Linked DNA regions of Oryctolagus cuniculus. The protein of the gene in region 2 purifies or fractionates together with the protein of the main gene of each other region. This does not show direct contact. Links are inferred from orthologs where the notes say so. Each region holds a gene or a part of one and is shown on either strand. Other genes may lie near its edges. The genes, in order: CD81 and CD19.

Region 1 (15,554 bases), on a different chromosome or scaffold from region 2:
CGGAGGAGGGGCTGGGGAGCCGAGGGCTGCACAGACAGACAGACAGACGGGCAGGAAGTACTGCCAGGCCGGTCACAGCCATGGGCCCCATGCCAGGGCTCGGCTCCCCAGGGTCATAGCCGCTCCCTGGTGCCTCTGCAGCCAGTGGCCGAGGGCTGCTGCCCTTCAGAAGAGTTAGGGCCAAGGGCAAACCCGGGGGGGCTGGCACTCACTGTGCCTCCCAGGCCACCCCCAGCCCGCAGGAGCCCAGAGTGGGGCAGACCTGACCAGGATCCATCCTGGGTTCCAGGTGGGGGTGCACAGCCGCCCCCTCAACCCGTCCTCTGGTCTCCTTTTGGGAATTTTCTCTCCCAAAGACGTAGTACTGATCTGAAACCACAGCTGAGTTCTTTTGCGATTACTGATTGCAGGCAGTACCCACTCCGTTTATTTCCCGCCCCTGCAGGGCTGCCCCCACTTCCACAGAGGAGCTGCCCCCGGCCCCAGGCAAGCCGCTTCGTCTGTCCTTCCTTCCTTCCTCCCTGGAGTCTCCCGGGAGCCACCAGCTCTCCTGCGGGAAGCAGCACCAGCGAGCCCCCCTCCAGCAGCACCAGTGCCGTGTCTCCTGGGGCTCCCCACCCCAACACCCGCTCCACGCCACCTCCCCCGCCTCCCCTCCCCAGGGCAGCCCCTTGGGTGGGACCTTGGGGTCCCCCTGCAGGCACCGAGGCCTCCTCTGGGCGGCCCCGCGGTGGATCCTGTGGAAATAAACAAGGCGTGTGGTCAGCAGCTGCTCCCAGCTTGTTCAACAAACGAATGACCGCCCCCACCAAAAGGAGCCTCTGGCAGGGGCCTGGCGTGTGAGGGTCCGAGCCAGGGGGACAGCCTGGACTGGAGTGAGGGCCCCAGGCGGTGGCGAACGCCCTCCCGGGAGCCCCAGCCCTGCGGAGCCAGGCCCGCCCCGTGCTGAGACGCTGTCCCCCCCAGCCCCTCCAAACCTCGTGGCAGCAGTGAGGGTGAGGGGCACCCCAAACCCCGCCCGGCCAGCTCTGGTCACCCGCAGATCTCCACCCCCCCACCAGCCCCACCCGCTCTCTCTCTCTAGGAATGGGGTCCCCAGAAGACGCCTCCCCCAGCCACCACCGGGAACTCAAGGGTTTCACAAGACCAGAGACCGCTCCAGGCGCAAGCCCCGCCCCCAGGCCACCGGACGGACAGACATCAGCACCACCTCCCCGGGGGACAGGCAGGGCCTTCTGCTGGCTCAGTCCAGATTTCCGGCTTCTGCTGCCCGCTAGGGGTCCTGGGACACGGAGGAGTGTCAGGGCTCCTGGGAATGACCCCGTGCGCTTGGACGGGATCGCCCAGGGACGCCGGGTTGGCACGCAGGGGCAGCTCTGCCCATGGCTCTGGGTCAGCCAGGCTCCCTTCCAGGCCTGCAGCGTCCCCCCTGCCCCACGGCGGGGGCTCCTGCAGGCTTCCTGTCCCTGCCTCCCGCCAGAGCAAGACTGAGGGAAGGCCCCACCCCCCCAGAGTACCCGAGCAGTGAACAGATCCGGACCCTGACCTGGTGGAACCCCGGCCCTGAGTGCAGGAACCCCAAACCTCCCGCGCCTGCCCTGAGGCCCCTCCCCTTCTTGTCCCCACGCCCTGCGATGCAGCAGGCCTCACACCCCAGGCGGAGGCCTCCCGGGCTGTGCCCTCTCTGTCTCTGTCCCAGGCTGGCCTGGACATTGCCCCTCTCCGACACCCTGAGGGGCCAGTGAGCTCGGCCTTGACCGCCGGGCCCCAAGGGACTGCCCCAACCCCGACTGTGCTGTGGGCAGCCCATCACTGTGGCTCTCAGCCCCCTTTATACACCCGCAGTGGAGCAACACCACACTGCGAGGGCGCGCTCGGACGTCCGGGGAGACCTGGAATCAGAGCTGAGCGGGCTTCTGCAGGCCGGGCGCGCCTGTCCCGTACCCTGCACCTTCATCGGCTTCTCCAAGACCCCTGCGGGCAAGGGTTTCAAAAACAAACCTTCTGCCCCAGAATAACTGATCTTTTCATTCATTTTTCACAATGATAGGCAAGGGGTCCTGACCCCCCCACTTCAGGAAGCCCAGGAAGCCAGTGGCACCCCCCCCCCCAGCCACCGGCCGGGCCAGGCCAGGGAGGCCACTGCAGCTTCCCCGTCCTCACCCAGCTCGGGCCCCACCACGGACAGCCCAGGACGCTGCCCACAGCACGCTCGCTTCCCGGGCCCACGGCCTCTCGGCCTCCAGGAGGCCCGCCGCGCTGCCCTGCTGTCTCCGGAACTTTGTGCACCGTGTTGAGATGCAATCCGTGGACCATAAAGCAAACCCATCCGACTGTTTCCCAGAGCAGCCCCGGGGCTGGGCCAGCCACACCACGGGGCTGCGGGCGGCCACTCCCACCCTCCACCACGGCCCCTGCGGGTCCACTTCCTGTCTCCCCACGTGAGTGGGGTTCCCCAGTGACTGGCTTCCGTCAGCACCACACTGCCTGTCGAGGTCCCCCCAGGTGTCATGTAACGGCCAGCCGGATCTCGCCCGCCCACTGGCCGATGACGGATGTGTGAGTGGCTTCCACTTCCTGGCTGCATCCTGTGCAGGACGCAGGCCCGTGGGGACTCTGGATTCTCTCTCCCTCCCTCCCTCTCTCTATGGGATCCGTGCGCGTCTGCACGCATGTGTGTACCTCCAGTTACGCACTTGGGGTCATCTGGAAGCCTGACCCTGGTCACGTTCACAGCCTCTCAGAGACCGAGCGGTTCCGACGCGAAGCTTCTCCACGCGGCGCTGACAGCTGCCCATGGTAAAGCGTTTGCCGAAGTGGCCAGTCATCACCTGTCTCCAAAATGCATCTTTTCTCCCAAAATCTGGCCCTTCCCTGAAAACACGGGTTCGTTCGACTTCTGTGCCACAGCCCGTGGAAGCCGCAGAGAGAACAGCTCTGGTGCCGCTGGGCCACCCCGGGTCAGCCCAGCAGCTCCGAAGTGTGGCGGGCGGCCCCGGGTTTGAACTGCTCAGCTTGGCACACCGGGCGGCCCGGCACTGCCAGCACGCCCGCTCCTCCCCAGTGCTGGCCTCGCCCCCGCCGAACGCCCGTGTCGTGAGGGCTTTGTCCTGCATACAGCAGAGCAGCCGGATTGCAGCCTTGCGGACGTCCAAGCCTGCAGGTATCCAGGGACGAAGTCCTTGTCCGAATGCCTCAAAGCAAGAAACCCTTCGGCTGGTCCTGTGGACCGCGAGAACCCTGAGGGCCGCCCCACTGGAGCGAGGGCTGCGTCTGCACCCCGTGAGTGCCCGCGAGAGCCTGCATCCAGGGGACAAGCGGTGGCCTGGCCCGTGCTGCTGACCGGCGTTTCCCCAGGACAAGTGACGCCGAGCACCTGCTCCTGGGCTTAGCGGCCACCTGCGCTCTGGAGCAGGGCCCGAGCCGGCCCTTCGCCCTCGCGCAGCCGGGCTGCCCTGTCCTGGACGGGATTCGACGTCGCTGGGTCATGAAGACTCTCAGAGTTCTGTCTGTGTTCTGCACATCAGTCCCTCCACAGCGCACGATTCACTCCCATTAGTAAATGGGGCGGGGGCGGGCGCTGTGGTGCCAGCATCCCCTCTGGGCGCCGGCTCCAGTCCTGGACGCCCCATTTCCGGCCTGGGAAAGCAGGGGAAGATGGCCCAGGTCTGATACCCCCTCCCCCAGCACACACAAAGTTGGAAAACCCAAACTTCCTGACTCAAGCCCCTGTGAGGCTGCAGTGACCAGAAGGGGGCGTCCTGGGGTGAGGACAGACGGACGGACCAACGGAGTGCAGACTGCAAGAACAAGCCCTCCTTGGCCGGCGCCGTGGCTCAATAGGCTAATCCTCCAACTTGCGGCGCCGGCACACCGGGTTCTAGTCCCGGTCGGGGCGCCGGATTCTGTCCCGGTTGCCCCTCTTCCAGGCCAGCTCTCTGCTATGGCCAGGGAGTGCAGTGGAGGATGGCCCAGGTGCTTGGGCCCTGCACCCCATGGGAGACCAGGAAAAGCACCTGGATCCTGGCTCCTGCCATCGGATCAGCGCGGTGCGCCGGCTGCAGCGGCGGCCATTGGAGGGTGAACCAACGGCAAAAGGAAGACCTTTCTCTCTCTGTCTCTCTCTCACTGTCCACTCTGCCTGTCAAAAAAAAAAAAAAGCCCTCCTGTCTGCTCGTGGGTTTTCTTTTTTTTTTTTTTAATATTTATTTATTTATTTGAAAGACAGAGTTACAGAGAGAGAGAGAGAGAGGTCGTCCATCTGCTGGTTCACTCCCCAGATGGCTGCAATGGCCGGAGCTGCGCCAAATTGAGCCAGGAGCCAGGAGCCAGGAGCTTCTTCCGGGTCTCCCACGTGGGTGCAGGGGCCCAAGGACTGGGGCCACCTTCTGCTGCTTTCCCAGGTGCATTAGGAGGGAGCTGGACTGGACGGGGGGCAGCCGAGGCTCAAACCGGCGCCCATGTGCGATGCTGGCACTGCAGGCGGCAGCTCTCGCGGCTCCACGGGTTATGCCACCACGGCAGCCCCCGGCTGGACTTCTGACCGTGTTTAAAGCTGTAGATCCACACGGGAACACTGTCATCTTAACCAGACTAAGTCTTCCGACCCCACACACGGAGCTCGCGGCATCCAACGTCTTTCACCGACGCTTTGTCCTTTTTAGTGAACGCGCCTGGTGCGTCTCTGCTCACCGTGTCCTAGGGTGTTTCCGGTGTTTTTATTTATGTGTTTATTTATTTATTGCTGCTATTCTAAATGGGATTGCCATCTTTATTTTGTTTGCAATCCTCCTTGCGGGGGTATAGGAGTAAAACTGAGTTTTGATCTTAATGGTCTTAACACAATAATAAGTAATAATACTTATTAGCATTAATGTTAATAGTTTTTGGTGGATTTCTCAGGATGCTCCACACACAGTACCAGGTGGTCAGCACACGGGGCGTCATGTTTGGCTTGGCCCATGTGGGCCACCTAACAGAACAGGAGCAGGACAGGTGTGCAAACATCAGGAACCCACTTCCCACAGTCCCAAGGCTGAGGCAGCGGCCGTGCTGAGCCCGCCAAGGGCTGTGAGAGCAGGCGGCCTCTTGGGGGAGAGCTGGACCCCCTTCCACGTCCACACTGCAGTTTTTATGGAAATGGGCTACGGCCCAGCATTCCTCTCCCCCCAAGCCCCCTCCTGGGAATCACTGGGAGGGGGGCTGAATTCTCCCCGGAGCCCCCGTGGTGCAGGGCTGGGGCGGCTGGAACTCACCCTCCAGGGCCAGGCTCCACGTGCACCTGCTGCCCCTCCTCCCTGGCTCGGCCATACCAGAGCTCCCACTCCTTATACACACACGGGCCGAGGTCCACCTGGCTGCCTAATGTTCCCCTCTCAAGAGGCGACCGCACAGGGTGGCATGGGTGAGGCGGTCTCCCGCGTTTTCTTGGAGCTGGCGTCCAGGCGTGGGGCTGGCACGGGCACTGTGCCACTGCCGCTGTCCTCCGGTGTGTGGCCGTGGCCCTGGGGACGCCTGCCTGTGCGGCCAAGGCCGAGGCGCGCTGACCCACACGGTGGGCCGGAAGTCCGGGACTTCTTTTCCCCAGGCCCCGGCCCTCTGACGCCCCCCTAAAGGGCTAGCCCCTAACACCTCCTGGGGAGGGGCGCGCTCTCATTCCACTTCCTGCCCCCCACTGGGTGCCTTGTGCATCTCTGTGGTGCCTCCCAGCGCGAGCCGGGCAGGGGAGAAGCGTGGGCGCGCACCGGGCCTGCTCCGGAGGGCGTCCTGAGGCTCCACGGAGCCCCGCATCCCAGCTGGACGAGCCCCCTCTTCTCGGCCGCCAGTGAGCGTTTTCTCCGCGGGAGAGGGCTGGGGGCTCTGGGGGCCGCCCCCACTGCGTGTGTCGAGATGAGCCACCCGGATGTGGTCCTTTGGGCTGTGAACACCGCGTATGGCCTGAGCCGTTAGCAGCTCCCCGTGGAGCCTCTGCCCTGCACACAGCCGGCCCCGTGTTCCAGGCCCCACTGGTCCTCCTCCGGCCGCCGTCATGTATGGCCCAGGAAGTCAGGGCAGGCAGGGGGGAGTGCGTGGTCCTGGGGGCACGGGGGTCTCCCAGCCACAGACAGCTCACAGAAGCCAGCGGCAGCCTGAGGAAACTGAGGCAGCCTCCCCAGAGCAGGGAGGTGGCCGAGCAAAGCAGCCAGGCTGCGGTGACCAGTCCTGCCCCCTACCTGGTGCCCCGCCCCCTGCCGATGCTCCGCCTCCGTGCCTGGTTCCCAGCCCCTGTCTGATGCCCTGCTCACTGCCTAGTGCCCCGCCCCTGCCTGATGCCCCGCCCCCTGCCTGGCGCCCCGCCCTCAGCACACGCAGCCCCACCTTCCCTGGGCAGGGTACCCCCGGGGGCTGCGGGAACAGGGGTTCCCAGCCCAGCCACGGCCCCTGGGCGAGCCCCTCCCCTCTTCTCACACAGCCCACCTGGGGGTTTGTCCGCGGGGTCCTGGAACCGGAAGGAAGTTCTCTCAGGCCCGGCCAACTTCCGGTGGCGCCCACCTGTCCCAGAATCACAGTGACACGTGCCCTGTCCTCACTGCCCTGGGCCCCCAGCACACATGAGGTCAAGGGCATGGGACACCCACCAGGCCCCTGAGGTGTCCCCCACCAGCCTACGGAGCCGGGGTTCCACTGTCGGCAGCCACCGGGCCCAGCTACACCCCCAGGCCACCCCACCCCACCGTGACCAAAACGGAGCACCAGCCCATCTGGGCGTCAGGCTCTCATCCCTGCTCGGCTCCGTCGGCCACTGCAGCCTCACCCATCTACCTGCAAGGCTCCTCTCCCCTGTCAGCCCCTCCCCCCATCAAGCATCCCGGCCTGGGCTCCTGGGTGGGGCAGCACCTGTCTCAGGCCCTCCAGGGGAGGGGTCCTGGCTGCCCCCCCAGCCAGCACCTGGCCCAGCTCCTGCCACACAAAGGGGCCAGGAAATGTGAGACGCGTGACCAAGCCAAGGACAGGACAGGACAGGGCGGCCGGGTGACCGGCCTCGGACCGAGGGCTCCGCCTGGCAGGAAGCGTTCCTGGCACCGGGGACAGCGGGGAGCTCACCAGACGCCGGCTCTTCTGGCCCCTCCCACCCACAAAGGCCTCTCGGAGACCAGACGTCCAGCGGGACCTTGTGCCTGCAGCTCACACGTTGGCGTGGGACACAACCACGAGCACCCACCGGCCAGCAGGAAAACCATGGGAGGAGTCAGCCCGGGGAGGACACACCCACGCAGACAGCCCCCAGCCACCATCTGCACGGGGCAGGGGCAGGACTCAGACCGGCCCCACCTGGGTCCGGGCGAGCGCCTGCCCAGGACGCAGCCTCGGGTGCACGTGGGCCTGCATGACCTGCTTGGGGCCGATGAGGAGGGGCCGATGAGGGGCCAGCGCTGGCTGGGGCCTGGGGCCTGGGAGAAAGCACCCCTCGCTGTCCCATCAGTCCCCACTGCCTCACCAGACCCCAGCTGCGAGGGCAGGGCCGGGGAGTGGCAGGGCGGGTGGGTGCGAGCTGCCACGGTGGCTCCCGCGCTGGTCGCGCTGGTCTGGGGCCCAGCTGGTGACCTTTGCCGAGGCTGCTGGGGGCGGCAGCAACGGCTTTCCCTAGCACAGGAACTGGCTGCCGAGAATTCGGGTCCAGACCTTCAGGCCCACCCCTGGTCTGCCCTGGACAGCAAGAGGAGCAGAGCTCCGGTGCGTGCAGAGCCATCCGCCACTGCATCACCTCCACCGGGAGCCCTCGGGGATTACGACAGGCGCCTGAGCAGGGGGAAGGGGAGGTCTTGCTCCCAGACACGTGCTGCATGCCCACGCTCGGGGGACACTCGCCCGGCCAGCGGCTGGGGACGCGACGGTCTCGGGTGACCGGACCCAGGAAGCCGCAGCGCCCTCCTCCCACCCTCACCCCGCCCCCTCTCCCACCCGGCTCTGTCCCGCGGCCGGGGCTCCGGGCGCCGGGGGCGGGGCCGGGCCGGGGGCGGGGCCGCGCTGTCCTATAAGCGGCGCGGAGGGGGCGCGCGCCCGGCCAGAGAGCGAGCGCGCACAGCGGCGGCGGCGGCGGCGGCGACCCCTCCGTGCTACCGGCCAGGCCTCCCGCGCCCCGCGCCCCGCGCGTCCCGCTCGCCGCGCTCCGAGCCCGGGGCTCGCCGGCCCCCGCCGCCCTCCAGGCCCCGCGCCCGGCCCGGCCCCGCGCCCCGGCCCGCCCGCCGCCCAGGCCCGGCCCGCGCCCGCAGGCCGCCCGCCGCCCGCGCCGCCATGGGGGTGGAAGGCTGCACCAAGTGCATCAAGTACCTGCTGTTCGTCTTCAATTTCGTCTTCTGGGTGAGCAGCGGGGCGGGGGGCGGGGCGCGGCCCGCCGAGGGCAGGCGCGCAGGCCGCGCGCTAGGCCCCGCGGAGGGGGCGCGGGCGGCCGTCGAGTTGCGGAGCCACCTGTGGGCTCCGGGCGCGGGTGGGGGGCGTCCAGGGCCGCCGAAGCCCCTGGCGGCGGGCCCGGCGGCGGGGACCTCTGCGTGTCGGGGCCCAGCCCCGCGGCCCGGCGGAGCGTCTGGGTAGGGGGCGCGGGGCTCTGTCCGCTCTGTGCCCGGGACAGGTCGGCGCGCGTGGCCCGGAGCCGCGTCCCCAGCCGCAGTGCCCGGGACCACCCGGCGTGGCGCGGGCGGAGGGGCTTGCCCCGCCCCCATGAGCTCATCGGGGCCACCGCCCCGGAATGGGCCGCGAGGGGAGGGGGCGCACGCTCTGGGCCGGCGCCTGGGGCCCTTCTTCCGCGCCGCGCCCTGAGGGCAAGTCGCCCTCTGGTCCCTGGGGGCAGCGCACCGGGGTTCCTGGGGGCCCAGCGCCCCTCTTCGCTGGCGCTGCGCGTCCGGTCCCGCCTGGCCCCGGGGGGCTGTGGACGCTCGGGGCGGGGAGGGCCCGCGTTGGGGCGGAGGGCGGCACGGGTGCGGGCTGGGGCTCCCCGCTCTGCAGGGAGGGGTCGGCGCGGGCTGGTCCTGGGGGAACTTTCTTGGCTGCCGGGGAGGCGGCCCGTGATGTTTTCGCCTTTTGTTTCCATTTCCTGTCGGCCCTGGAATTGGGGGTGGGGGGTGGAGAGGCCGAGCGCGGTGGGGGGGGGCCAGACGGCCGGCCCCTGCCCCTGCCCCTGCCCCTGCCCCCCGGGTCTGGCCCTTCCTGCAGGGCACTGGGCGCCGTCCTGGCAGGCTCCGCACTCCCCAAGTTGAGGCAGGAGGGTCAACTTTTAGCGCGGGCCCCGGGACATCTGCTTCGCATCTGGACAGCTGCCGGGCCAGCGAGGACCTCGGGCAGGGAGAACAGAGACAGGGCTGCCGGCTCCGGGGACACTGCGCTCCCGCGTGGGGTGGCGGTGAGGCCATCTGGCCGGCCCAGCCTGGCCCTGGGGCCTTGGCCAAAGAGGAGGTGGCATCTGTGTGGGTCAGTGTTTGCCTGCCAGGGCCCAGACGCGTAGGAGGTGACGGGCACAGGGGGCGTCCCTCTGCTGGCCCGGGGAGGGGGGTGACGGGATGGGGGCGGGGCCTCCTCCTGGAGATGTTTGTGCCTTGGGCTGTGCAGCAGTGCCAGCAGCTGGGAGATCTCCGGGGGCGCGCCCCCCAGGGAGCTGGGCCGCTTCCCGGTTGGTGGAGGCTGGAGCACACCCCCCGGGGCGCTGGTTCCGAGGCCCCTCCCGCCCGGCCTGTCCCGGGGGCCCCCACCGGCCTGTCCCCGGGGCCCCCACCCGGCTCCCTGCACTGCAGAGCCCCCTCTGAGCGGGGTCTTCGTGGACTTCCTGGTGGCTGGCAGGCTGCTCGTGTGAGTGAGGGGCTTGGCGCAGGGACGGCTCCGGAAAAGGAGGCTGGGCATGGCAGCCGCCGTGAAGCTCGGCCAAGGAGAGCCGGGCCGGGCCTGGCCCAGGAGGAAATGCCTGGGCGCGGGGGTGCCCGCCCCACGGGGCCTGTTGTGGATGGAGGGCCCTGGGGGCTTGCGGGGGTGTGGCGGGACAGGTGGGCACTGCACGTCTGGATGGGCGCTTTGTAAGATGTTTATTGGGAAGTCAAAGAGGCAGAGAGAGACGCCCGTCCTCTGATTCGCTCCTCAGACGCCTGCAGGGGTCACGCCAGGCTGAAGCTGGGGAAGCCCAGTCCAGGGCCCCGCACCTGCTGCCCTCCCAGGGTGCAGCTCGGCAGGCAGCTGGAGCCGGCTCTCAACCCAGGGCTCCCACATGGGCTGCGGGCGCCCCGGGCGGCATTGTCAGCCTTGTGCCAGGTGCCGGCCCCTGCGTGGGGCACTTTTTAAAAGTCCCATTTCAGGAGCCGCCTCGAGGGGGGAGGCAGCCGTGGGAGCCTGGCAGCCCCGGGGAGGAAGGTGTCCCACAGGTGCTCGTCTTCCTCCCATCGCTGGCCATGTGCAGTGAGGCGTCCTGGCCAGCGAGGTCGTGGGCTCCCCGGCGGCCCGAGCAGAGAGCACCGTGCGGATGCCCTTGGGCTGGGTCCCGGAGCTCCTGGGATGGGGCAGGGGTGCGTAGAGCTGGCCTGCACGGCAGGTGTGACGGTGGCCAGGTGTCCTGAGAGGTACAGCCGGTGGCTGCCTTCCAGTGGCAGATGAAGCCCTGGGAACAGGCGCTCGATTTACTTCTGCCAGATGGCACGTGACCGTCCGTCACCCCGCCAGCGCATCTGCTCCCTGCCTCGGACGGCGACCCCAGCAGGCTGTGTCGGGGGGACTCGGCACGGGGGCGACTGGACTCCCCCAGTGCCCCCACACCGACCCCACGCCGGGGAGACAGCCATTCGGCCCGGCCTGCAGAGGAGAGAGTGCATGGTTGCGCCTGCGTTGGGTCCTCAGCCGGGGAGGGCGGCAGGGCCCTGGGTACCACGGCAGGTGGCCCAGAGCCCTGCCCTCATGCTTTGCTGAGCCTGCTGGGCCTTCTCCTGGCTTTGCCACCGTGTGCGGGTCGCTGGGCAGACCCCAGCCCCGTTTCTGCTCCGAAACGCCATCCCAGGGGAGAGCTTTGGTGGTGAAATCAATAAGGCATAGAGTCCAGGCACCGTGGGAGGGGCGCCCTCGCCCAAGCGGCTGATTCGGGGAGGACCCTGGGTGGGGGCAGGCAGGTGGCCCTTGCTCCGGCCCTGACCCCTGTGCCCCGGCCAGTGAGCGGTGAGGACCGGGTGATCTTCAGCCCCGGACACCCACCTCTTCTGCCCCCAGAACTGGGCTCGCCCGGAACGCACCCTCCGAGGCCCACACCTGTCCAGTGGGATGTGGTGTGACCCAGGGTGCCTTCCAAAAATCTGTGTGGTTTCCCGGGCACCCCCAGCACCGTGCACATCCTCGGTACTGCCCGGCCCAGTCAGAACTCTCCCCCTGGGGCATCCAGTGGGCAGTGGGACGTCCGGCCCGGGCCTCGGGCGGCCTCCACTGGCTGCCAGTGTTGTGGCCATGGGGGTGGCTGGGACGGCTGTGGGGCTGGGGGCACTCAGAGTTGGCGCCCGGGAGCCCCTGTGTCTGGGCGCTGTAGCTGAGCTGTGGGGTGCCCAGCACGTGGCGGGGTGGGGGTGCCTGGCTGCAGTGCTGGGTCCCGGGCCCTGGACTTGCGAGGGGCAGTGGTTCGAGCAGCACGGGCTGCACCCCCACCGCACGCCTGGCGTGACCTCAGCAGCACGCAACAGGCCTCCCTCTGTGCCCGGGAGATGTTGGCGGCTCACGGCTGCCCGCCTCGTGCCAGGCGGCCGGCCCCTCAGCCTCCAGCTGCCCACGAGGGGGCAGGGCTGGGACCAGAGCCCCTTCCTCACCCGCCCTACTGCCACGGCCTGCAGGCGCCCCGGGACTCTGGCAGCCCCCGTCCTCTGCCTGGGGTCTCCAGGGCCAGCTGGGGTGGGGAGGCTCTGCTGGGGCAGGTGGGAACAACTCTGGGGGCTCTCCTGGCTGGTGACACCCCACCTGCCCTGGGACCCCTCCCACCGCCCTCCGAGGGCCCAACCTCCCATTCTCACCCGTGGGACCCTGCCCATCCTGCCCGAAACACAACTGTCAGGGTCCTGGCTACCCGCGACCCCCCCTTCCCTGCAGGGGGAGCTGGACGCTGGCCTGGGCCAGCAGCAGCTGTCCTGCGGGGAACGGGCCGCCTGCCCTCGGGGTCTGGGGTCCACGGCCTCGCCCTGGACCTATTTTTAGATGCTGGGACAGGCGGCTTCCTGAGGCCCAGGGCCCCAAGCGGCGCCTCCGCTTCCTGGCCAAGGTGAGGACCGAGCGCCCCTTCCCTCCGTGCCCCCTCCCCGCCCCGCAGGACCCTGCCTGACCCTGTCCCCGCTTCCATGCCCAGGACCCAGGCTGCAAGCACAGGCTGGCCTCCCTCCGGGGAGCCTCACGGCCCCCACCCCGGGTCTCGCTGGCCCCCCGGCCCCGCCCCGTCACCCAGCCGGCCTGCATTTCTGTGTCCCAGCACATGTGGCCCCCCAGCCCGTGGCCTCTCCCCAAGACCAGTGCACGGGGCAGGGCTCCAGCTACCCAGGGGGGCTGGTGCTGCCCAGCAGGCTGTGTCGGCAGCACTTGGGGTGACCTGGGAGCCAGAGGGCACAGCCCCGCCGCCGGCCAGGGTCTGGCAGAGGGCGGGAAGCCCGCCTGGGCAGCGCCCGCGCCCCATACTGCCTTTCGGCTGCTTCTGGGAACTGGCGCACTTGGCAGCCCCGTGTCGTTGGCTCTGTTAGTTATTAGTTCTCGGGGCGGAGGGAGGCAGGAGGAGGAAGAAACAGAAACCAAAGTTGCTGCAGACCGCGGGCTGCTCCCCGCCCACCTCCGCCCGAGCCCTGCGCCGCCCCCTCCGGGCAGTACCCCGGGGTGCGGGAGCCTCTCGGTGGGTGCTGCCCCGTGGCAGAGGAGTGGACGGAGCCCGTGGTGCACAGACCCCCGGCACGGGGGCGTTGAAGGCCGTGGCGGAGGGGGCCCGGGCCTCCCTCCCCCGCGGTCTCTGTCCAGTGCCCTCTCATCGTGGTGTCCAGCATGGGGCGTTCTCGAGCCAGCATCCCACATGTTGACCCATGGCCTGGCCTTGAGCGTCCCTGGGTGTGGGCTGCTGGCCACCGGAGGCGGGGGGAGCCGGGAATTTGGGTGTGGGGGTTTTTAAAACCTCCTGTTGAGGATGCGGGCATCGAAAGTGCTCGGCTTGGTGAGTTGTGGCACAGTAGCCGCCACCAGGAGAGCACGGCGCCCTCCCAGCGCGTCCAGGCCCCTGGCCGCCCGCCCCGTCCGGGACGGTGAGTCTCTGCCCGTCACGGGGCTGGCAGGTCTGCATCGCACTGCCCTGTGAGTGTCCAGCCTGGCCCGCCCACCCTCCCCTCGGTGTCTCCGTCCCGAGGCTGGCCCGCACCGGTCCATGTGGGTGTCCGCTGTGGGACGGCCCCCAGGGTCCCCCAGGCTCCACCCCGAGTTGCCAGGTGCATTTCACATTTGCGTTCCTGGCCCCGGGCAGCTGGGCCCAGTGGCCAGCGCGGGTCTCCCCAGCCAGGGAACACCGGCTCTCGTCCAGAGCTGCCTCTGCTCCCTGCTGCTCCAGCTGAGTGCTCCGTCCTGTGCCTCGGAGCTGCCCCCCGGGTGGGGCGTCCGGGAGGTCAGCCGTCCGCCCCGTGGCATCTGCCTGGCCCCTGTGAGGCCTGTCCGTCCTGGTGCTGTGTCTGACTCTGAGTGCCAGAGCCCTCCTCGCTGGCCTGCCCTCTGCCCTCCCCACGGTGGGCACAGGGCCCGGGGCTCCTGCCCGGAGGCCACCTCCCCTCCCCGCCCTGCCTGCGACCTGGGGCAGGGAGACCAGCGACCCCTGCCTGGGCGCCCGTTGAGTGGCACTTGCTCCCCGTTTCTGTTGGGACAGGGGCTGGGGGCCTCTTTTCTGCTAAGGGCCCTTTGGATATTTAATTACCCATTTTTAAAAAAATATTTATTTGAAAGAGTTACAGAGAGCGAGCGAGAGACAGCGAGATCTCCCACCCGCTGGTTTCCTCCCCAGACGGCCACAATGGCCAGGGCTGGGCCAGGCTGAAGCCAGGAGCCAGGAGCTTCTTCCAGGTCTCCCACGTGGGTGCAGGGCCATCCCACGGTGCTTTCCCAGGCCTGTTAGCAGCGAGCTGGATCGGAAGTGGGGCAGCCAGGACCTGAACCGGCGCCCATCTGGGATGCTGGCGTCTCCGGTGGTGGTGCCACGCGCTGTGCAGCTGTCGAATTCCGAGTCCCACCTGCAGTTGGATTTCACGGCCCACCCCGGCCCACCCTAGCCGGCGCATCCACCTTGGGCAGGACCAGCTCCCCAGCCTGTGCCAGGTCGCAGACTAGTGAGGGTCCCTGGGCTGGGTGGCACAGAGCCAGGCTCTGCCCACGGCCTGGCTCTCCCGGTGAGGACCCTGGGACAACCTGCCAGGACCTCACAGCACAAGCCGCTGAGGCAGGCTCTGGCCACAGAGGGAGAGGACGGGGCGGGGGCTCGCCCCATGTCCTGGGACGGCTCTCAGAGTGACCTCGGGGTCAGGAGTTCAAAACGGAAACCGCGCAGCCGAGGAGACCTGAGTGACACTTCCCCGCCGAGCGCCAGGCCGGGGCCCCACGCTCCCCGCTGCCTCCCCCACACCCTCCACCTGTCTGCTTCAGGATTCTGGAAGCTCAGGGCCCTGGCTCCCTGGGCCTTGCCGTGGGCAGGTCGGCCAGCAGGAGCCCTGCGGGTCCTTGGGGGCCCTGACGGCGCCCCGGCTGCTGGCTGGGGACCCGGCTCCATCGAGGGCCCCGGGGGGAGGTAGGCTCCTGTCCCACCCCCGCTGCCGGGCTGAGGGGCTCCGGGGCACGCGCCGTTCGTGGTCCTTGTGGCAGTGAGACCCCCTCCCGCAGCCCCCGACGCCCACCCCCCATCGGGGGCACAGAGCCAGAGCTGGGCCGGCAAGGTGGTGGTCTCGGCTTCTAGTTTCCTTTCTGCCATCAGCAGCCGCCGAGGCGTGGGTGTGGGGCCTCCCTGGGGCACCTGTGACGGCCGGCCACAGAGAGCCCGTCCCTCCTGGGGGGGAGACTCCCCTCCCTGCACAGTCCCTGCCTTCTCTTGCGGGAAGCCCTCAGGGCTTTGGCAAGGCCTGTGGGCGCTGGCAGTGGGCTCCCTGTGCCAGAGCCTGACCTCCTGCTGTGGGCGGGGCCCTGGACTGACAGTCTCTTCCAGGCTTGCCGTGGCCTGTGCAGCGGTGGGGGGGGGGGGGGGACGCAGAGGGGATCTGGAGGGGCCTGGCTGTGTGGGAAAGCAGTGGCGAGGGTGCAGGCCGTGGGACTCGGGGTCCCGGGTATTTCCGGGGAGCGTGTGGTGGAGGCAGGCCTGCCCAGGGAGGGCGACCTGCAGCTGGCCACCTGTCCTGGGAGGGGCCCTGGGCCACCGCGCGGCCGCCACCTGGCTCCGAGCGCCTTTCTGCCCACCAAGCGCCTCTCGCCGCGGCCCACAGCACCACTTCCTTCCTTCCTCCCTGGCAGCTGCCGGGATTTGCCCCACAAACCGCATGCCGGGCCCTCTCCTGCAACAGAGACTCGGGGTC
Region 2 (15,724 bases):
AACAGCTCTGTGTGTGACTTCAGGGAACGCCCTGCCCTGCTTGGGGCCTCCATTTCCCTATTAAAAAAAAAAAAAAAGGCTTATTTATTTATTTATTTGAAAGGCAGCGTTACAGGGAGAGAGAGGGGGAGACAGAGAGCCATCTTCCATCTGCTGGTTCACGCCCAGGTAGCCACAGTGGACAGCGCTGGACCAGGCTGAAGCCAGGAGCCAGGAGCTTCCTCCAGGTCCCCTACACAGGTGCAGGAGCCCGAACACTTGGGTCATCTTCCGCTGCTTTCCCAGGTGCCATAGCAGAGAGCTGGATCGGAAGTGGAGCAGCCGGGACTCGAACTGGCGCCCCTCTGGGATGCGGGTGCCGCAGGTGCTGGCCTTACCTGCTGCACACAGCACCAGCCCATTTCCCCGTTTCTAAAAAGGCTCCTTCCAGAACTGCAGCAGGGGCTTTCTGGGGGCAGAGCTGCTGAGTCAGTGACTTCTCAGGAAGAGCCACTGTGGCCCCAGCCTCGCAGCCGCCCAGCCCCCTGCTCCCCCTGCTAGCTTTCTCTGTGTTACTGGATTTATCATCGGGACAATCTGCCGAGAAAGTCGCACTTCCAATTTACAAAGAAGGAGACTTACCCATGGTTTTGAAGCTGGGCAGTCTGGCTTGAGCTCCTCCGTATGAACTGATTAACTGAGGGCCTACTGTGTGCTGGCTGCTGGGCTAAAGATGTCACACAAGGGCCGGCGCCACGGGTCACTAGGCTAATCCTCTACCTAGTGGTGCCAGCACACCGGGTTCTAGTCCCGGTCGGGGTGCCGGATTCTGTCCCGGTTGCCCCTCTTCCAGGCCAGCCCTCTGCTGTGGCCAGGGAGTGCAGTGGAGGATGGCCCAAGTGCTTGGGCCCTGCACCCCATGGGAGACCAGGAGAAGCACCTGGCTCCTGCCTTCGGATCAGCGCGGTGTGCTGGCCACAGTGTGCCAGCTGTGGTGGCCATTGGAGGGTGAACCAATGGCAAAAGGAAGACCTTTCTCTGTCTCTCTCTCTCACTATCCACTCTGCCTGTCCAAAAAAAAAAAAAAAAAAACAACACAAAAACGATGTCCAACAAGTATTGTCCTCTTTCATCTTTATAAACAATATTTTAAAAATCTTAAAAATCACTTTCATTTTATTTGAAAAGTAGAGAGACAGACAGAGAGATCTTCCATCTGCTGGTTCACGACCCAAATGCCCACAACAGCTGGGGCTGGGACAGATGGAATTCAGGAGCCCAGAACTCAAATCTGGATCTCCCATGTGGCTGGCAGGGACCCAATTTCTTGAGCCACCCCTGCTGTCTCCCAGAATGCACATTAGCAGGAAGCTGGAACAAGAAACAGAGCTGGGATTCAAACCCAAGCACTCCAATATGAATATGGGCATCCCAAGGGATTACCCAGCCACTGTCCCAAATGGCTGCCTCCAAATAACATTACTTATAGTCCTGTCATTCTCCCCAGTGGACAGAAGAAGAAACTCAGGCTTTGCGTGCTGAAGGAAGTTAGCTACAAGTAGAGGTGGAGGATTTGAACTCAGGTCTGCCGCAGGTGGTCATGGGGTAGGGGTGGGGGGTGGAAAGAGGTCCAAGAAATGTTTGTTGAATGAAAGAATGAGGTGTAGGTGTGAAGGGAGCCTGGGGTTGGGAGGGGGGAACAGGAGGAAGCCCCTGAAGCGGAATCCACTCATTCAACCCAGAGTTCGCCGTCACCACCTTTGTGCCAATCACCGTCCTGGGACCGTGTGCACAGGGAGGGGAACGAGACTCTGCCTCTGCTCCCAAGGGGCTCACACACTAGTGGAGAAAACAGAAGTGAGCCCCTCCACACACGCAGAGACACACACACACACACAGACACACACACAGAGAGACACACACAATCAGTTCTTGTGGAGCTAAGTGTGGGGCGAAAACAAGACAGCACACGGGGAGGAAGCAAGCTGTGTGGGTCTGGAGGGGGCCTGGAGAAAGCAGCCCGAGGCGTGACCACCCCTTCCTCTCTGAGGGGACTGCCTGCTCGCCCCCACAGGCGTCCATGGTTCAGTGCCCAGCAGGCCCCTGCCTGCCCCAGCATCCCCTGCGCGGGGAAGCTGGGCGGCCCGGGGAGTCTGGCCACCATGCCACCTCCTCTCCTGCTCGCCTTCCTCCTCTTCCTGACCCTGGGGAGAGTCAGGCCCCAGAAACTACTGCAGGTGGAGATGGAAGGTAGGTCCAAAGAGGCAGAGAGGGAGGGAGTCGGGGTTGGAAGCCTGGGTTTGGGCTGGGTGCCCTCCACAGCGTGGCTCACCCTCTCTGAGCCTTTCTAGCTTGTGACCCAGCAGGTGCTGGGGCAGTGACGGGAAGGGGCTGGGACTCTCCCTCCCTCTCTGCCCACAGAGGGAAGTGATGCTGTGTTGCCGTGCCTCCAGGACCCCCCGGATGGTCCCCCTGAGCGGCTGATCTGGTCTCGGGACTCCCAAGGGCCTTTCCTGGAGCTGAGCCCCGGGTCCCCAGGCCTGGGCATCCATGTGGGGCGTCTTGGCATCTTGCTGCTCATCTTCAACGTCTCTAATGAGATGGGGGGCTTCTACCTGTGCCAGCCAGCGCCCCCCTCCCAGCAGGCCTGGCAGCCTGGTTGGACGGTCAGCGTGGAGGGCAGCGGTGAGGGCTGGGCCGGCCTGGGGTCAGGGAGGGGGGAAGTTGCTGGATGGGAAGTGGAGAGCCCAGTGTAGCCAGCGGCCAGAGCGGAGCTGGAGGGAGGGCTGAGGAGTCGCCTCCTGTGGTTCTGAGACCACCCCTGAGGGCCTCCTGTCTCTCTCCCACCCTCCCCTCTCTCTGCGAGTCACTGTTTCTCTGTGTCTCTATTCATCTCTGCCGTCCCCGAGTCCCTCTGCCTCTCCTGCTCTCCTGGGAGCCTCTGTATCTGGTTCTGGGTCTCTCCCCAGGGGAGCTCTTCCGGTGGAATGCTTCGGACCTAGGTGGCCCAGGCTGTGGCCTGGGCAATGAGTCTTCCAGCTCCCAGCCGTACGTGTGGGACAGAGACCACCCCAAGGAGTGGGACATGGGGCCTGCCTGCGCTTCCCCCAGGGGTGATCTGAACCAGAGCTCCAGCCTGGGTGAGGGGAAATGCTGGGGGGGTGCCAGGAAATGGGGGTCCTGCCTGGGGGGCAGTGACTGGAAACAGAAGGGGTTGGGGAGACAACACCCCAAGGATTAGGTATCACTTTCCTTGTCTCTCCCTGCCGCAGACCTCACCGTGGCCCCTGGCTCCACTGTCTGGCTGTCCTGTGGGGTGCCCCCTGCCTCTGTGGCCACTGGCCCCGTTTCCTGGGCCCACATACACCCTACGAAGCCCAACATCTTATTGCCAAGCCTAAACCTGACCGCGGAATCCCCAGCAAGAGAGATGTGGGTCCTGGGGCCTGTTCTGATGCTGCCCCAGGTCACAGCTGTGGATGCTGGGATGTATGTCTGTCGCCGTGGCAACCTGACCACGGAAATTCACGTGACAATCACTGTCCGGCCAGGTAGGGCTTCTCCCCACTGTGGGGGCAGGTGCTGGGGAGAGGGGGGTTACGGGGAGGAAGTGGAAGCCAGGCCATCTTGGACTCCCAGCCTGAGGGCTAGTCCCAGCCTCTTCTCGTCTACACCCTCTTTCCATGGGACCTCCTTTGCTCCCGAGGAGTCACCATGCCTTGATCACTCTAGTTCAGGCTCCAGACCCCTATCTCCTGGACTTGCCATTCCATGTAGACTGCACATACACAAAAATCAAAGTTAGTGTCAGGCAGGCGCCGCGGCTCACTAGGCTAATCCTCCGCCTTGTGGCGCTGGCACACCGGGTTCTAGTCCCGGTTGGGGCGCCGGATTCTGTCCCGGTTGCCCCTCTTCCAGGCCAGCTCTCTGCTGTGGCCAGGGAGTGCAGTGGAGGATGGCCCAAGTGCTTGGGCCCTGCACCCCATGGGAGACCAGGAGAAGCACCCGGCTCCTGCCATCGGATCAGCGCGGTGCGCCGGCTGCAGCGCGCCGGCCATGGCGGCCATTGGAGGGTGAACCAACAGCAAAGGAAGACCTTTCTCTCTCTCTCTCTCTCTCTCTCTCACTATCCACTCTGCCTGTCAAAAAAAAAAAAAAAAAAAAAAAAAAAAGTTAGTGTCATCCCCAGGTGTAGACTTCCATGTGCCTCCCATTGAGGGAAGGACATCATACCACTTGCCTTCCTGCCCAAACCAGACACCTGGGCCTTCTTCCTTCTCCCCACCCCAGCCAGTGAACTGGCCACATTGTACTGGCCACCTAGTCTTCATTTTAATGCAATCCTACCATGCTCTTCTCCCAATCACACGCCTCAAAGTCAGCCTCAACGGTCACTCCAAACTTGACCTCAGCAATGTGCTGGGTTCCGACATTAGCCTGCCAACTCCACTCTGTACTTCGCGTTGACCATGACCGTGTGTAACTGCAGCAAGGAAGCTGACGGTGCTGCTCCCCTTAATCCTGATGCGGTCTCTGACTCTTACCCTGGCTTGCTCACTAGAGGCTGCCCCGAGCCCTGGGCCAGGCTCTGCGGAACAGTCCCCACCCTCGGGGGACACGACTCCTTAGATGGAGGGATGAGCGCCCTCCTCATAGCTTGGGACTTTGAACCTGGGTCTTGTTCCTCCCCCCCAACCCCACCCCTGATTTATGGTCCTTGGAGGTCTTGAGGTTGGGAAGTGAGATGCCAGGCTGGGGTCCTCCTCTCATAGCCCCTCCCCCCCAGCAATATGGCACTGGCTGCAGAGGAAAAGCGGCTGGATTGTTCCAGTTGTGGCTTTGCTTTATCTGATCTTCTGCCTGGGCTGCCTGGTGAGCTTTCTTCACCTTCGGAGAGGTGAGTCCTGGCCCCCAGCCAGTCTGCACCAACCCTTCTTCCTCAAGATAAGCCACTTCACGTCTGGCCACCGTGTTTTTCTCCTCCTGTCCCTCATCCACAAACCCCAGAATCCCCCACCCCACCCCCCACCCCAGGCCCTCTAACTCACCTCAAACTTCTCAAGCCCCTGGAAACTCGAACTCTCATCTCCTTTTATGCATCCAACCCGAACTCCCCAGCAGCCCCCAAAGCCTCACCCTGCCAAGCAGCCCGCCCTCTGACCACGCCCCTTAACTCCCCCACCAGCCCTGATCCTGAGAAGGAAAAGAAAGAGAATGACGGACCCCACCAGGAGGTAAGGCGGCAAGTGCACCCCGTTCTTCCCGCCATGCTTTGCAGTCACTGCCTCCAGCGTGTCTCTGTCCCATCTCTACCCGTTGGGATACGGCCCAGTCTCCAGCTCAGCGCCAAAGCTACCTCCTTTTCGTAGACCTCCTTGGAGTGGTCCCAGAGCCCTCCGCGAGCTGTCCCGGCCTCGGGGAGCAAATCACAGGGCGCCATGTTCAACCTCGGAGGGCCTGGTCTGTATCTTGTGTCATCTGGTCCCTTCCAGTCCTGATCTCACTGCGCATCTCTCCTGCCAGATTCTTCAAAGTGACGCCCCCCGCAGGAAACGGGGCTCAGAGCCAGTATGGGAACGTGCTCTCTCTTCCCACGCCCACCTCTGGCACAGGTAAGAGGTCCTGCCAGGCTTCTGGCCCGGGTCCGCCCCTCCGGCCTTTAGCTCCGCCCCCAGAGGTAGAGCTCCACCCAGTTGTTCTCATTCCTCCAATCCCCTGAGAGCCACCGCTTCTCAGGCTCAGAACTCCGCCCCAGGGGCGTGGAGCCCCGCCCAGGTTTGACCACGTGCCCCTGGAAACACGCCCACCCCCAACACTCACAGTCCCGCCCCGAAGACGCCCAGGCAGCGGGTCCCTCACCCCCCAGCTTGAGGCCCCGCCCCTAGATTGAGATCCCGCTCCCGGGTTGAGGGCCAGGTGCACAGACCCGGAGTTCCGCGGTGGAGCCCCCAGCATCCCGCCCGCTGTGCGCTCCCAGCGCTCTGACCCCGCCTCGCGCCGCCCCTCTCGCCAGGACGCGCCCAGCGTTGGGCGGCAAGCCTGGGGGGCGCCGCCGCACCCTATGGACATCCGCTCAGCGACGTCCAGGAGGCTGGAGCCGCGGGGTCCCGGAGCCTGCCAAGAGCCAGTGAGTGAGGAAGGGGGTGTCAGTCCCCACTTGGAGCGGGTGTTGGAGTGGTCCGTGGCACGGATAACGCACTGAGGCTTGGAGGAGGGAGCATGCGCGGTCCCCCACCCCTATCCCACACCCCCAGGCCCAGAAGAAGAGGAAGGGGAGGCCTACGAGGAGCCGGACAGTGAGGCGGACTCCGAGTTCTACGAGAACGACTCTAACCCGGCGCAGGACCAGCTCTCCCAAGGTAAGGCTGCCCACTCCCACCCCCTACGCCCCCGCGGCGGGCTGTGAACCCCCGCCGGACGCCCCTCCTTCTCTCCTAGACGGCAGCGGCTATGAGAACCCCGAGGAGGAGCCGTCGGGTCCTGAGGACGATGACTCCTTCTCCAACGGTAACGCGGGGTCCTCGTGGGGTCTCGGAGCCGTGGGAGGATGCCTACGCTTGGAGCGCCTGGCGGCGGGGGCAGGAGTGGTCCCTGGAGTCCCTCTCTTGTCCCGCAGCCGAGTCCTATGAGAATGAGGATGAGGAGCTGGCCCCGCCGGTCACCAGGACAGCAGGTGCGTGGGAGGCAGCCTCATGCCCCGGGACGGGCCGGCCTGCAAGCCAGCAGCACGGTGACGCCCCTCTTCCTCCTCCAGACTTCCTGAGCCCCCACGGGTCTGCCTGGGACCCCAGCCGGGAAGCAGTCTCCCTTGGTGAGAGCTCCTTGGAGCCAGCCCGCCTTGCCCAGCCTGGGCGGACCTGGCCTCGGCTCTGACCCCGGCCCAACCTTGACCTGACCCTGACCTTCCGTTCGATTCCCTAACTGTAACCTCAACCCCCAGTAGTTGCACCATCCCTAACCTTGAACATCAGCACAGCCCAAACCCATTCCACACTGGGCTTTGACCTTCAACCCAGCTTTAATGCAGACTTCAATTTTGACCCCAGCCCTGCACAGATGTCCTCATGGCTCTGATTCCCTCCAGTTTGGTTCTTGACCGTTTCTTTGACCTAACCCCTGGTTAACCCTGACCCTTCAGCTACCCAGGGCCCAGACTTGAAGCTGACCCACCCGATCACCCCTCCTCGTAGACCATGGGTCAAGCCTGCCACCTTCCCCTGCCCCTCGGCACCTGCTCCTTAGGGTACCTCCCTTCCCCAGTCCCCAGCCCGGCTGCCAGCCTCCAATCCTCCACGCTCCGCCCAAGCAGGCTCCCAGTCCTATGAGGATATGAGAGGGATCCTGTACGCGGCTCCCCAGCTCCGCTCCTCACGGCCAGGGCCCTCTTATGAGGAAGGTGGGTGCTTCTGCGGTTCCCCCACCACCAGGGTCCTCTGGTCTCAGTGCCCCTCCCAGCCGACCTGCACCCCTCCCTGCTCCTATCCAGATGCAGACTCTTACGAGAACATGGACAATCCCGACGGGCCAGAACCAGCGTGGGGAGCAGGGGGCCATGGGGGGACCTGGAGCACTAGGTGACCCCCAGGTGACCAGGTACCCCAGGGACAGGAGGAGGAGGGAGGCGACAGGCAGGGAAGGCAGTGGAGGGCTGGCTAGGAGGGAGGGAGGGGGCAGGGTTCCCAGGGCCTTGGAGTGGCGGGGGCAGAAGCTGGGCCCCTGGACCCTTCCTCACCTCATTACCATTTCTCCTACATAGCTGGGGCTCCTGAGACCCCTGAGAGCCACACCTGACTCTGAAATCTAGGGACTGCAAGCAGATGGTGTCAACCTGTGGAACAGCATTGCTCAGGACGTGTGCGTGTGTGCTTGCACGTGTGCATGTGTGTGTGTGTTTGTGTGTGTGTGTGTGCAAGTAAAACTCCCTTCCCTTTTTGCTTTCCCCAAATAAACTCGGCGAGCTCTTCCAGTCCTATGGAGTCGTTCCCTTGTGTGGGAGGGAAAGAAAAGGTGAACAGGGTCGCACCGCTGTCCCCCGACTCTGCACAGCAGGCCGTCGCTCCTCTTTCCTTAACTTGTCTGCCCCATGCCCACCACCCGCTCACCCAACCGTTGTTGGTTCAGCGGTAGACTGCCCGGAGCCCAACAGTGAAGAGGCAACCGTCCAGGAAGTAGCAGTCGAGGGACGAGACGTCCTGCACCACCACTGGGTATTTATGTATTGTTCTACTAGGGTCTGCGCAGTTTTTTAGATGTATTATTTATTTTCCTTTTATCTGCAAGGCAGAGAGAGGTGGACAGTCAGAGATCTTCCATCCTCAATAGCTGGGACTGGGCGTGGTCACAGCCAGAAGTCAGAAACCAGGAACTGAATCCTGGTCTCCACTGTAGGTGGCAGGGACCCAAGGACGTGAGCCCCCAGGGTGCGCGTCAGCAGGAAGCTGGAATCAGAAGCAGAGCTGGACTCAGACCCAGGCACTCAGATATGGATGCCAGCATCCCAAGCCCTGGCTTAGCTACGGGGCCAAATGCTGGTCCCCAGGGAAGTGTTCTTTTTCTTCCTTGTGCTTCTGCCTGTGGAGATCCCACAGTTCCCTGGGGCACCCCTGGGAACAGCTGGCTTTGGCTGTGCCACAGTTTTACAGGCTACCCAGACTGCTGAAAGATTCATAAGTTTCTCAGAGCAGGTTTGTTTATTTTTTAAAGATGTATTTGTTTATTTGAGAGGTAGAGTTACAGATAGAGGGAGGGAGAGACAGAGAAAGAGGACTTCCATCCGCTGGTTCACTCTCCAGATGGCCGCAACGGCCAGAGCTGGGCTGATCTGAAGCCAGGAGCCAGGAGCTTCTTCCGGGTCTCCCATGCAGGTGCAGGGGCCCAAGGACTCGGACCATCTTCCACTGCTTTCCCAGGCCACAGCAGAGCTGGATCGGAAGTGGAGCAGCCAAGACTGGCGCCTGTGTGGGATGCTGGTGCTGCAGAGGGAGGCTCAACCTGCTATGCCGCAGCGCCAGCCCCTCAGAACAGGTTTTCACACCAGAGGTGTAGTGTGAATCCAGGCTCATACTTGGGGTTCCAACTGCCCACAATGGCCTTGTCCATCCCTAGCCTGTTGGGAGTGGGCTTTGCTTCCATATTGCACGCCAGCACTTGGGGAAGAATTGGTTTCTTCTCCATCTCTGTGCTTGGAAGACATCGCCCTTTCTCAGCCCCCAGCTTTGTCCCAGAGCTCAGCTCCCTGTTGTTCCTGGGGCCTTGGAATTGGCCTCTGTTCCCTGTGGGTGTTAAAACTCCAGTCTTAGACATTCCAGCATGCCTATGGCTGCTGGGCTCCCCACCCCCCACCGCCCCGCAACCATTGTAACTTTGTTTTCCTTCTGTATTTCTGGTACCAAGAAGATTCTTAAAAAAAAAAAAAAAAAAAAAAAAAAGATTTATTTGTCAGAGTTACAGAGAGAGAGAGAGAGAGAGAGAGAGAGAGAGAGAGATCTTCAATCTGCTGGTTCATTTCCCAGCTGGCCTGCAATGGCCAGGACTGGGCCAGGTTGAATCCAGGAGCCAGGACTTTTACCCAGGTCTCCCACATGGGTGGCAGGGGCTTAAGCATTTGGTCCATCTTCGGCTGCTTTCCCAGGCCATCGGCAGGGAGCTGGGTCGGAAGTGGAACAGCCAGCATTCCAGTCGGTGCCCATATGGGATGTCGGCACTGTGGGTGCAGCTTTACCTGCTGTGGCACAATGCCCAGCCCTGGTACCAAGGAGATTCTGTCCTGCTTTTGAGTTCAATTATCTTTTTCTTTTTTAATTAATTAATTTATTGTTTTTTAAAATTTTAATTAGTTTTTAACAGATTCAATATGGTTCATAGGTACAATTCTAAGAACCTAATGATGGGCTGCTGTTGAGGCCTCATTCCACCACAGGCTGGCATTGTGGAGTAGTGGGTAAAGTTGCCACCTGCCCTGCCAGCATCCCCTGTGGGCACTGGTTCAAGTCCCAGCTGCTCCATTTCCAACCCAGCTCCCTGCTGATGGCCTGGGAAAGCAGCAGGAGATGACCCAAATACCTGGGCCCTGCCACCCACATGGGAGACCCAGATGAAGCCTCTGGCTTCTAGCTTTAGCCTGTCTCAGCCATAGCTGTTGCAGCCATCAGGGGAGTGAACCAGTGGGTAGAAGATTCTCTCTCTCTCTCTCTCTCTCTCTCTCTCCTTCTCTCTCTGTAACTTTGACTTTCAAGTAAATATACAAAGCAAAAAATATGATATAGTCTTCCTCCCTCCCTCCTTCCCTTTCTTTTTTTCTTTAATCTTTTAATTCATTCTTTCCGTGAGTTTTTTTTTTTTAAAGGTTTATTTGAAAGGCAGAGTCAGAGAGAGAGACAGAGAGAATCTTCCAGCAGCTGGTTCTCTCCCCTGAAATGGCCACAACAGTCAGATCTGGGGCAGACAAAGGCAGAGGCCGGGAGCTCCCTCCTGTCTCCCACGTGGGTTGCAGGGGCCCAAGTTCTTGAAGCATCTTCCACTGCCTTCCCAGGCACGTTAGCAGGGAGCTGGCTGGGAAGCAGCACAGCCAGGACTCCAAGGAGCACCCTTATATGGGATGCTGGTGTCATAAGCCACAGCTTAACCTGTTGCCCCACAGCATCGGCCTCTCAGCTGCCCATTAAAACAAAACAAAACAAAAAACAAACAGAAGAAGAAAAATTAGAAACAATCTGGTTTGGCTCACCCCAGCCCCTGGACCCCCCGCCCCCATTGCCATAATCCCTGCCATTCTTTGTCATCTTTCACTCAGTCTCATTCATGTCAGCTTCCTGCCTGTCTGAGTTTGCGCTGTGACTCCTGGTGAAAATACCCTGCCTTCGCGAGATTGGATCCAGGCCTGAATCTCTGTGTGTCTCTGGTCCCCGGCCAGAGTGGGGCAAAGATCTCGGGCAACGAGTGGGCAGCAAAGGAGGAGGAGTGAGACTCTGCAGGAAGGGCTGTGACAGGTGCTTCCTGCAGGCAGGGTGCAGAGGAGGGCGGCACCCCAGCGGCTTGGACCCTCCCACCCCACCCCACCCCCCACTGGCAAGTTGGTGGGGAGGGGAGTGGAGATTGGAGCCCAGGTGTGCTAACTCCAGCCCAGCTCTGAAATCCGAGGATCAGGGTTTGAATCCCAGCTCCAGCCATTTCCGGGGTGTGATAGTTTCCTGGTGGGTAAAATAGGGATAATAAGGATAGGTGCTGGGGTGCTGGGGTTGGCCTTGTGGCATGGCAGATAAAGCCTCTGCCTGCAATGCCAGCATCCCATATGGGTGCCAGTTCGAGTCCCGGCTGCTCCACTTCCAATCCAGCTTCCTGCTAAATATACCCGGAAGGGCAGCAGAGGATGGCTTAAGTCCCCGGGTACCCCCTGCACAGGCATGGGAGACTTGGATGAAGCTCCTGGCTCCTGGCTTTGGCCTGGCCTAGCCCTAGTTGTTGTGGCCATTTGGTGGAACGAACCAGTGGATGAAAGATCTCTCTCTGTCTCACCTTCTCTTTCTCTCTGTAACTCTGCCCATCAAATAAATAAATAGATCTTAAAAAAAAAAAAAAAAGGATAGCTTCCTTAGTCTAAAAGACACATAAAGCACTTGATGGTGGCGTAGGGAGCACTCAAATACCTGTTGATTATTTGGCCTGTATTAGGGGTCTACTGTGCACCAGGAGTCAGGAGACACCAACCCATTGTGCAGAGACCTGCTCGGGCAAGAAGCCACATTCCAACTGGCGCTGTGCCCTAGTGGGTTAAAAGCCTCTGCCTGCAGCACCGGCATTCCATATGGGTGCTGGTTCTAGTCCCGGCTGCTCCACTTCCGATCCAGCTCTCTGCTATGGCCTGGGAAAACAGTAGAAGATGGCCCAAGTCCTTGGGCCCCTGCACTCGCGTGAGAGACCCAGAAGAAGCTCCTGGCTCCTGGCCTCGGATCAGCACAGCTCCGACTGTTGCGGCCAACTGGGGAGCGAACCAGTGGATGGAAGACCTCTCTCTCTCACTACTTCTTTCTCTGTGTAACTCTGACTTTCAAATAAATAAATAAATATTAAAAAAAAAAAAAGAATGGGGACCGGTGTTGTGGTGCAGTGGGTTAAGCAACTCCTGCAGCTCTGGCATCCTATGTAAAAGGTACTGGTTCAAGTTCAAGTTCTGGCTTCTCCTGGGAAGGCAATGGATGATGACCTAAATGCTTGGATCCCTGCCACCCACATGGGAGACCCAGATGGAATTCTGGGCTCCTGATTTTGGCCTGGCTCAGCCCCAGCTGTTGCTGCCATTTGGAGAATGAACCAGTAGATGGACGATCTCTCTCTCTGTCTCTCTCCCCCCCCCCCCCCGCTTGCCCTCTTTGTCTCTGCCTTTAAAAAATGAGCCTGAGTTGATACTTGGCTCCAGCTCCTGACTCTAGCTTCCAGCCAAGGTGCACCCTGGGAGGCGGTGCTGCTGGCTTTTTGTGGCCGGACTCCTGACACCCACATGGGAGACCTGGTTTGAGTTTCTAGCTCTCAGCTTCAACCTGGCCCAGCCCTAGCTGTTGGTGGTGGTATTTGGGGGAACAAAGCAGCAGATGGGAGCCCTCTCTGTTTCTGCCTCTCAAATGAAAAACAAAAGCAAGCAAGCAAACAAACAAAAAACACAGGGGCTGGTGCTGTGGCTTAGCCAGGAGAGCTGCCACCTGTGGCACCAGCATCCCATATGGGCGCCAGTTCACGTCCCAGCTGCTCCTCTTCCGATCCAGCTCTCTGCTGTGGCCTGGGAAAGCAGTAGAAGATGGCCCAGGTCCTTGGGCCCCTGCACCCGCGTGGGAGACCCGGAAGCTCCAGCGGCCCCAGCAGTCATTCTCTATGAGGACGTCACAGACAGCCTGGGCTTGCACCTGCTCTGATGCAGATTTCCTTTATGGCTGTGAACGTCTTCTACAAATGACAGCTTCTCAGACTCGCTGAGAGTCTGCAGACTCGCTGCAGAGCCCTCTCGAATTTGCTAAAGAAGCATTGCGGTGCCCTGGTTTGGTCTCCCATAAGGGTCCTTCCTGCAATGTGGATGGCCGGCTATGAAGAAAGGCTGAAGGGCTCTGGGAGCTGGGAAGTCCTTGGAGTCCCCTCTGTCACCGCCCCCGGGGTCCCTCTGTTCCCTGGGAAACAGCGCCACCTGCTGGAAGTTGTGTGCCTGGCGTGTTGACCTGGGCTGAGCCAGCTCAGAGCATCAAAGGCTTGAGCAGAGGCACTATGTGTGTGTGTGTGTGGGGGGTGTCAGGAGGCTGCGGAGGTGCAGGTGTATGGGTGGCATGTGGGTGGGGTCAAGGTGCTGTTCCAGATGGAGGTGTGCAGTACGAGCAGTCTGAACACCATGTGTGTATGCAAGGCGTGTGGCGTTGAGTGTGTACCGTGTGGGTCTTAGGGGTGAAGGATGCTGTGGGGTGTACAAGGGCACTTCAGAAAGTTCATGGAGGGTGGGCCCGGCATCGCAGCACAGTGAGTAAAGCCACTGCTTACAATGCCAGCATCCCTTATTGGAACGGTAGCTTGAGTCCCAGCGGCTCCGCTTCCAATGCAGCTCCCTGCTAATGTACCTGGGAAGGCAGCAGATACTGGCCCAGTGCTTGGGTCCCTGGCACGCATGTGGGAGACCTAGAAGGAGCTCCTGGCTCCTGACTTCGGATTGACCCAGCTCTGGCTGTTGTGGCCACTTGGGGGAGTGAACCAGCAGATGGAGGAGCTCTTAGTCTCCATCTCTCCCCTTTTCTCTGTAATTCTGCCTTTCAAATAAAATAGAAAAAAATAATACAAATAAATAAAATAAAAAATAAAAAGAAATAAAATGAAAAAAATTGGAGTTTTTTTGGGGGAAATAGTAAGTTTATTTGAAAGGCAGAGTTGCAGAGAGAAAGAGAGGTGGGAGGGAGAGCGAGAGAGAGAGAGAGAGAGAGAGAGAGAGAGATCGGGGCCAGCATAGCAACATAGCAGGTTAAGCTCCATCTGTGACGCTGGGTTCTCATATTGGGTGTGTCACCGGAGAAAAGGCCGTGGGTTCTTGTCTTCACGCAAGAAAGAATTCAGGCATGAGACAGCTAGCGGAGCAATAAGGCTTTATTGGGGGCAGGGCATCTGTCAGAACGGAAGACAGAGAGACAGCGCCCAGTCGCTCGGACTGGGAAGAGCGAGGTTACATGGTTGAGTGGAGAGAATACACCTGGGCAGGCCAGGCGGGCAGCTCAGCAGAGAGCGGAGAGCTGAGCACACAGTCCGTTTGGACTCCCTAGGTTTTTAAGGGTGTCTGTCTACCCACTTCCCCCTCTCCTCCAGGACAAAGGATGGAGAGTCCTGGTGGAAGGGTTTGTTGGGTGAAAATTAGCAAATTCCAGGCCGGCGCCGCGGCTCAATAGGCTAATCCTCCACCTAGCGGCGCCGGCACACTGGGTTCTAGTCCCGGTCGGGGCACCGGATTCTGTCCCAGTTGCCCCTCTTCCAGGCCAGCTCTCTGCTGTGGCCAGGGAGTGCAGTGGAGGATGGCCCAAGTGCTTGGGCCCTGCACCCCATGGGAGACCAGGATAAGTACCTGGCTCCTGCCTTCGGATCAGCACGGTGCGCCGGCCGCAGCGCGCCAGCTGTGGCGGCCATTGTAGGGTGAACCAATGGCAAAGGAAGACCTTTCTCTCTGTCTCTCTCTCTCACTGTCCACTCTGCCTGTCAAAAAAAAAATAATAAAAAAAAAGAAAATTAGAAAATTCCTCCCCAGATTTGTTGGCACGGGGCAGAGCAGAGGGGCTTCCCTTAGGGCGTCTGAGAAGGTTTCATTGCCCCATGTTATCAGGTCAGGTAACCCCTCTGGTCCTGAGGAGAGAGAGTTCTCCTGAGAGCTTCCCTTGGGGGAAGGGCTGGGACCACCTGGGAGGTTACCAGGGTCTGGGCAGGGCTTTGAAGTGCAAGATGCTGGGCTTCTGGAGCTTCCGAAGTGGGTGCTGGGCTTCAGCCCTGTCTCTCACACGCATAGGCTCAGTTTCTGACTTCCTACCTAACAGGTGCAGGTTCAAGACCCAGTTGTTCCACTTCCGATCCAGTTCCCCACTATGTATCTCTGGGAAAGCAGTGGAAGATGACCCAAGTACTTGGGCCCCCACACCCAACTGGGAAGCCCAGAAGAAGCTCCAGGTTCCTGGCTTGGGTCAAGGCTGTGGCCTTGGCCATTGTGGCCATTTGAGGAATGAACCAGCAGATGGAAGATCTCTCTCCCTCTGTCTCTGTCTCTCTAACTCTGCCTTTGAAAATAAATAAAAACAAATCTTAAAGAGAGAGAGAGAGAGAGAGAGAGAGAGAGATGTTCACTCCCTCAAAATAGCTGCAACTCCCAGTATTGGGCCAGCCTGAAGCCAGGATCCTGGAACTCCACACAGGTCTCCCACGTGGTTGCATGGGCCCAAGCACTTGGGCCATCTTCCGCTGCTTTCCCAGGTGCATTAGCAGGGAGCTGGATTGGAAGGGGGAACAGCCAGGATTCCAACCAGCGCCCTATTGGGTGCCATTGGGCGTCATAGGTAGCTGCTTAACCCATCGCGCCACAACACAGGTCCCTGGGGAGAAAAATGTTTTAAAAAATTGCTTAAAGTTCATGGAAATTGGAATTAAAATTTGGGGTGGGCGTTGTGGCCCAAAGGGCCAAGCCACAGCCTGGGACGCCCGCATCCCATATGGGATCGCCAGTTTGAGTCCCGGGCTGCTTCGCTTT

What was found.
Region 1: the proteins of CD19 (region 2) and CD81 purify together in Homo sapiens (affinity purification with western blotting, with the first as the bait; 3 studies listed by BioGRID). This does not show direct contact. The link is inferred for Oryctolagus cuniculus from reciprocal best matches to the Homo sapiens genes CD19 and CD81.

What each region holds. Positions count from the first base shown.
Region 1 is NC_091432.1:1,167,820-1,183,373, reverse strand, and holds the start of CD81 (CD81 antigen), read left to right. Parts: upstream 1-8,047; 5' UTR 8,048-8,274; coding exon 8,275-8,340; intron 8,341-9,559; exon of another isoform or gene 9,560-9,819; intron 9,820-15,554. UniProt on the Homo sapiens protein: Structural component of specialized membrane microdomains known as tetraspanin-enriched microdomains (TERMs), which act as platforms for receptor clustering and signaling.
Region 2 is NC_091450.1:7,744,661-7,760,384, forward strand, and holds CD19 (B-lymphocyte antigen CD19), read left to right. Parts: upstream 1-1,872; 5' UTR 1,873-2,141; coding exon 2,142-2,229; intron 2,230-2,400; coding exon 2,401-2,664; intron 2,665-2,948; coding exon 2,949-3,119; intron 3,120-3,251; coding exon 3,252-3,530; intron 3,531-4,765; coding exon 4,766-4,876; intron 4,877-5,164; coding exon 5,165-5,213; intron 5,214-5,502; coding exon 5,503-5,591; intron 5,592-5,992; coding exon 5,993-6,106; intron 6,107-6,233; coding exon 6,234-6,338; intron 6,339-6,417; coding exon 6,418-6,486; intron 6,487-6,595; coding exon 6,596-6,652; intron 6,653-6,733; coding exon 6,734-6,790; intron 6,791-7,288; coding exon 7,289-7,375; intron 7,376-7,465; coding exon 7,466-7,557; 3' UTR 7,558-7,572; intron 7,573-7,735; 3' UTR 7,736-7,945; downstream 7,946-15,724. UniProt on the Homo sapiens protein: Functions as a coreceptor for the B-cell antigen receptor complex (BCR) on B-lymphocytes. Decreases the threshold for activation of downstream signaling pathways and for triggering B-cell responses to antigens.